Rattus norvegicus: one gene and its partner. The protein of the gene in region 1 binds, or shares a complex with, the protein of each later gene. Links are inferred from orthologs where the notes say so. Each region holds a gene or a part of one and is shown on either strand. Other genes may lie near its edges.

The links. The genes of interacting proteins can lie anywhere in the genome.
Region 2: Zbtb8os (region 1) and Fam98b share a complex: the UniProt entries of both Homo sapiens proteins name them as parts of the tRNA-splicing ligase complex. The link is inferred for Rattus norvegicus from reciprocal best matches to the Homo sapiens genes ZBTB8OS and FAM98B.

What each region holds. Positions count from the first base shown.
Region 1 is NC_086023.1:146,962,927-146,966,753, reverse strand, and holds part of Zbtb8os (protein archease), read right to left. Parts: intron 2,172-3,827; coding exon 2,147-2,171; intron 1,175-2,146; coding exon 1,053-1,174; intron 919-1,052; coding exon 836-918; intron 1-835. UniProt on the Homo sapiens protein: Component of the tRNA-splicing ligase complex required to facilitate the enzymatic turnover of catalytic subunit RTCB. Together with DDX1, acts by facilitating the guanylylation of RTCB, a key intermediate step in tRNA ligation.
Region 2 is NC_086021.1:124,615,750-124,619,051, reverse strand, and holds the end of Fam98b (protein FAM98B), read right to left. Parts: intron 1,730-3,302; coding exon 1,322-1,729; 3' UTR 777-1,321; downstream 1-776. UniProt on the Homo sapiens protein: Positively stimulates PRMT1-induced protein arginine dimethylated arginine methylation.

The sequences.
Region 1 (3,827 bases):
CACTGCCACTGCCCCGCCTCCCCTCTCCTCCCCCCTCCCCCCCCTTTTTTTTTGGCAAACTGGGCTGGACTGGAACTCAGAGTTCCTCATGCCTCTGCTTCCCGAGTGGTATAATAAATAGCGTGCCCATCATGCTGGCTCAATAAATATTCTCTCCACCTCTTAGTGATATCCAACATTTCACAGCCAGAGATGTAAGTAAGAGAGAGAAAGAGAGAGAGAGAGAAAGAGACAGAGACAGAGACAGAGAGAGAACGAACCTAGTCTAACAGGTTAATCAATCAATAAGGACCTACACGGAGCTGGAGAAACTGCTCAGCAGTTAACAGCACTGGCTGCTCTTGCAGAGGACCCAGAATTGATTCCTAGCACTACTGTGAGTCACAACTGTTTGTGAGTCTGGTAGCAGGGGCATGTCGCCCTCTTCTGGCCTTCATCGGCACTGCATGTACTTGGTGCACAGATATGCATACAGGCAAAACAACTATAAACTAAAAAGAAAACATTTGGCTTTTCCATGTGTGGGAGCTTGTAAATAAAGAGTGTGAATGTGGGGTTGGGGATTTAGCTCAGTGGTAGAGCGCTTGCCTAGCAAGCGCAAGGCCCTGGGTTCGGTCCCCAGCTCCGAAAAAAAAAGAAAAAAGAAAAAGAAAAAAAAAAAAAAGAGGGTGTGAATGTAAGAAAAAATTCTATTAAAAACCCTGGAATTTATATAATTCAACATTACCTCACATATCTCGATGGACTGGTTTTGGATCCCATGCCTTACCTTTTTAAAATGTGAACTAACAGTCTACTTGCTCAGGAAAAAAACCCAAGAAAACCCTGTGCTTACCCGGGGTATGAAGTACTCATCGGCACTGAACCTGTAAAGCCACTCGTCCAAAAAGTGAAACAGCAGAGACTGCAAGTCGTCTCCTACACAGGGTCAAAGGGACCAGGACAGGTGATGTTAGCAACGTTCATGATCCACTGAGGGCCACTCTATACTCAGATCATACAGAATAATGTACTCTCCTGCCTTAACTTTTCCTTGAGAATAGAGCACTTACCTTGGGTTTCCACTTCCACTGTTTGGAGGGGCTCCACAGTCCCGGTGTCTGTCATGTAACCAAACATGGCCATGGCACACTGTTCAAATGCTTCCTCCAGGGTGTCTCCCCATGCATGTAACCTAAAGTTAAAGAGTTTAAATTAAACCAATAAAAGGGGCCTTGCACACACACAACTACAAGACAGAAAAATCCCACAATGAAGCAAAAGAAAATCAGTTTCATAAATATAAACTAAATGCCTAATTTAACCATGCCCAAATTACATTTTTTAAACCATCATTTCAAATTTAAAACAACCACATAAAAGGAGAAAAACAGAAATACACTCGGGCCAGAAGGTGAAGATACTTGCCATCAAGCCTGACACTGTGGTGGAAGGAAAGAACTGACTTCTGACCTCTGCCCATACACGGTGGCACTCATGTCTTACACACCCAGCCCACAAAATAAAATGTAAGCATACGCTGGGGGCACACTTTTGATCTCAACACTCAGGAGGCAGAGGAAGGTGTACCTCTATGAGTTTCAGGCTAGCCTGGTCTATAGAACAAATTCCAGGCCAGCCAGGGCTACACAGTAAGATCCTATCTCAAAAAAGAAAAGATGGAGAGCTGGGGGGCTGGAAAGATGACTCAGTGTTTAAGGGCACTGACTGCTCTTCCAGAGGTCCCGAGTTCAAATCCCAGCTCCTACATAGTGGCTCACAACCATCTGTAGAATGAGATCCAATGCCCTCTTCTGGTGTGTCTGAAGAGCAACAGTATACAGTGTACTTACAAATAAACAAACAAACAATAAATATATAAGAAAAGATAGGGGCTGGAGAGATGGCTTAGTGCCTAAGTGTATTGGGTCCTAGCCTCGGCACCCACATGGTGGCTTATATCCATTTATAACTCCAGTCACACCTGATAACCTCTTCTGATCCTTTGGGCTTCAGGCACACACATGGTACACAAATATACACACAGGCAAAACGTCCACATGCACAAGAAAATCAGATAAATCTTAAACATAGTTAAATTTTTTATTAAAAAAATTAAAGCATTCATTCTAAAGACATTTTCAAGAATGACTCTTGCTATACTCACTGGACATCAGCTGTATGATCCAAATCTGAGGGAGAGAGGGGAAAATATGTGTAAATCACTGAACTTGACTCCAAGTCCTACAGAAATAACACTAGAGAACTGACGGCAGCAGACAGAAAGAGCTCTACTCACCTGCCACTCACTAAGAACATCATCCTAGCTGGCTCGCACCATAATCCTAGTACTTAAGTGGCTAAGGCAGGTAGAGCATAGATTCCAGCCCAGCCTAGGCTACTAAGACAACCTGGATACACAGTAACAACCCATATTCATTCACTCATTCATTCATTCCTGAGTCAGGGTTTCTCTGTGCAGTCCTGGATGTCCTGGAACTCACTCTGTGCATCAAGCTAGACTTAAACTCAGAGATCTACCTGCCTCTGCCTCACAAGTGCTGGGATTGAAGAAGTGTGCTGTCAGGGCCCAGCAATATTACTCCATCTCTGAGGGGGACAGCAAGGGGATGGCTCAGTGGCTAAAGCTTGTACTGGACCACATAGTGGAAAGAGAAAATTGACTCCCTTGACTTCTCTATGTATACTGTGGTGCATATATATATATATATATATATATATATATATATGTATATGTATATGTATATGTATGTGTATATGTATATATGTATATGTATGTGTATATGTATATATATAATATATATACTCATCCCCCTTCTTACACACACACACACACACACACACACACACAGCTTAGTAGGTAAAAGTACATGCTGTGCAAGGCAATATGACATTGAGAACCCATGTTAACATCACACACAACAGCACAAACATCTACTATCCCAGTACACTTATTACAAACTGGGGGAGGAAACAAGAATCCATAGACTGGTAGTTTTCAACCCGTTGGACGATAACTTGTGGAAAGTACCACGACAGGAGGCTTTCCGTGTTTTGTTTCATTTTGCTTTGGTTTTAGTCACAGGGTCTCCCTGTGCACTCCAGGCTGGTCTGGTCCTCCTGCCCCAAGTGCTAGGGTTACACATGCCCAGCTCCTTCTAGGTATCCTAAAACATCTAAGTTGTGCGCACCAATGGGTCCCTGCAATCCCAGTTTGAGTTTGAAGCTGGATAATCACTTGAGCCCAGTTCAAGGCTGCCCTGGGTGACACAGCCAAGTTGATGCTTGTCAGCTGTCTTACATATTGGCCTCTTGGTAAACATTTCCTATCATCAGTTACTTTTCCTGACTAACTAGCCCAATTCTGAACACTAAATAGTTTAGGAAGGCCGGGGGCTGGAGAGATGGCTCAGTGGTTAAGAGCACTGACTGCTCTTCCAGAGGCCCTAAGTTCAATTCCCAGCAACCACATGGTGCCTCACAACCATCTGTAAGGGGATCCGATGCCCTCTTCTGGTGTGTCTGAAGACAGCAACAGTGTACTTATAAAATAATTAATAAATAATTAAAAAAAATAGTTTAGGAAGGCCAATTCCACAGGCTGTGCACTGAGTGTTCCCACAGGACAGACAGACCTCAACAGCTCTACTGCATGCCCCACGGCGACCGTCAGTGCCTCCTTTTTCGTCTGTCCTTTGCCTCGTCCATGGTTTATATCAATTCTTTCCACCCATTTTGCTTTGGGCTGGGGTCTAACGCTGTAGTCCTGGCCGGCCTGGAATTCACTATGTAAACCAGCCTGGAATGGATGGATCTCTTGCCTCTGT
Region 2 (3,302 bases), on another chromosome or scaffold:
GAACATGGAGAGGGGTAGGGGCATTGTCCTGGAGGACAAAGGACTGCCTCAGATAGAGAAAAGACAGACGTCACACATAGGAAAATGTCACTTTATAAAGGTAAAGGGGAAACCCCGTGTTAGGATGAGGTGTTTAATTTTAGTTGGACAGGTTAATTAGGTGACCCAAAGGGGGCTTTTGATTGCTGGACTTCACTACCTTGATAGCTGGACCTTCGTAGTCAGCCTCAGAGGAAGAAGTGGCCAAATAAATGAAACATACCTTGGTAGCAAGCTTCAGGAACAGAATCTTAAGCTTTTAGCAAGGTGGAGGGAATGGGAGAGAAAGGCAAGGCATGCAGAGCCATGCCTGCTGCGCTCAGGCCAGCCAGAGTCGTCTATCTACGCATGCATGTGCACGCACACTTTTATTCTCAACTTCATGTGCCTCTGGCTTTTTAACTGAGTCTACTTAGTGCTGTGTCTGTGTGCATGGGCCTTAGGACATCTACTAGAGAGATCATAGGTAAACTCATGTCCCACATCCTGACTCAGCTTCCCCCAGCGTCTCCCTCAGGGAGAGGGTAGAATTTTGTCTGGCTTGATCTTGCAAAGTTATGTGTTGTGTGCGTGCTGTCACAGCTGCTGTGAGTTTGTGTGTGTAACTGCCCTGCTGTGTCCAGACAAGTTTCATTGTAGGTACCCACCACCTCTAGGTCATACAACTTTAACTTAGCCATTCAGTCAGTCACATAGGTTCAAACTCAACTGGCAAATAAGTCATGTGCACAGTGAAATAAAGAAGATGTCTTCAGTTAACAGAAATTTAATAAAAACCTGACCAGAGGAATTTCAACCAATTTTAAAAAGGACAACTGACTACACACACATTAGACACTTCCTCTATTTTGTAAAATAGAATTAACAATACAGGACAGATCCCCAAGAATACAAACGACTCGAGTCTAGATTCCTTTCTGTTACTGGCAGGTGTCATATGTGTTTCAACCCTGAACAAAATACCAGTTTACAGTCTAAATTCAAACATGACAATAAAATACATTCCATTTTTCCAAGTTGCTGGTAATAAATATTTACATTTTAAAAAATAGGTTTTGTTTTTGCCTTTTAAAAAGACACAGCATGCTTTAGTACACAGAATATGGAAAAAAATCATGTTGCAGGATCATCACCCAGTATATAAAATGGCCTTTTGTATTCAGGAAAGCCTTCCTCGGGGGCACTAACATGATCTACCTCAGGGTGATGTTCAAGTATGTTCCTCAGAACACTATATCTACTGCATCTAGTAGGAAGCAGTGTTCTCTAACATCTGCAGGTATCAGTATCTTCTATACCCACCCCCACCACCTCCTCCTCCATACGGATCTCCATAACCTCTCCCACCATAACCCCCTCTCCCACCATAGCCCCCTCTTCCACCATAATCTCCCCTCCCACCATAATCTCCCCTGCCTTGGAAACCTCCTCGGCCACCCCCTCCCCCACCGCTTCCTCCCCACCCTCCTCCACCTCCTCCTCCACCTCCTCCTCCACCCCCTCCCCACCCTCCTCCTCCACCTCCCCATCCACCTCTTCCTCCCCCACCACCTCCTCTACCACCCCCTCCACCTCCCCAGCCACCCCTCCCTCCGCCTTCTTGTCTCTTCTGCCAAGGGGGCATTTCAGGGGGTGGTGGTTCAATTTCATTTGGCCGTCCTCCCCTGTCTGGAACCCTTCCCATAAGCACCTGTGTGAAGACAAAAAGTTTTCTTTAAGTTTTATTTTTCAAAGTTAAAAATTACAAAGATTTTAAGTGATATTAAAGTTATTTATAAATAAAGAGGCCAAATCTTTTAAATAACAGAAAAGGGTTGAACATGGTATGAACTAATACTGAAAATGTAAGTGCAATGTTTGACAAATCCTTCAGAGTATGGTATCACTTTTAAACAAACTAAAACAGTATTCTTAAAGGTTGGTCTTGTCAGTCTTCTCTCATTTAAATTTGTTTAGCAGAATTTGTAAGTGTGGTATTTGTTACATTAAGAACTATTTTAACAAAATGTTTTTAAGACACAGACTGTTTAACCTACATTAGTCAACCTCATATTCATCTATTTATAAATGAGAAACTCTGGACATCCCACAGCGATAGATTTGGTAATGGTTATCAAATAAGACTGCATTCCTCGGTACACTGCAGTCTACCAACATATAAAGACTATATAGTGTGCAGTTAGGCACAACGGCAATCCCAATATGGTTTGTAGCCATTTTCTCCCATAGGGAAATATTCCATTCTATAGAGAGCTCATTAATAAAGGATATAAATGACCCTAAATTGCTTCAAGAAGTCCCTGAAACTGACCAGACCCACTAGGTTGCTCTTTCCCTAAGAGAAAAGAGTTTAGGTCAGTGATACACGTACTATATATTATTATAGCATAGACATCCTAACTCTCAATACAAGATGCGAAATGTTTCACAGTTCAAAATGTTTTAAGCACCAACATGATGGCACAGTGAAAAGTTCTATAAATGATATCATAGTTTATGCAGTAGAAGCACAGGGACACAAAATATGTGTGTGTGTTATATAATACACACACACACACACACACACACACACACACACACATATAATTGAAATCTTTAATTTTAAAAATACTGTAACCTAAATCTTTATTAAATATCATTTAAAACTCAGCACTTTGGATGAGGAATAATAAGCGTGTATGCAAGCGCATGCACACAAACACCGATGCCTCTCACTGTGCTTTTAACAATACTTGGAAGGATAAACTAAGGGAAGCATTGAAGTTTCCACCCTCCACAGACATACTCTGTGCTGCATACCCATGACAGAGTGAAAGACCATAGGTAACTCTGGAGGATGTTAGCCCTGCCCCAGTCCTGGCACAGCCAAGAGGAATCCAACAGAAGAAGAAACAAAATATTCACCATTCACCAAAGCAACCAAAGAGTCAGCCAGACTGCAATGTCACTGCTAGTCAGAGCCACACAGTAAGATGGCATGGACTGGAGACAGTGAGCAAGGGTTCCCGCACAGGGTGTGGGGCGTGCATGGGAGGCACTGGAGGGCAGAGAGGCACAGGGGTTCATATAGTTAGATTATACTTTTAAAAAACATTTTTAAATGCACAGAAGTTATGTCACAAATACTAAATTCTGTCAGGCACAGTGGCCTAGGCTTTTCATCCCCATTCTTGGGAGCCAGAAGCAGACCAGCTGGTATCTGTAGGTCCAGGTTACCTGGTCTGCAGAGTGAGTTTCCAGGCCAGCCAGCAATACACACTAAC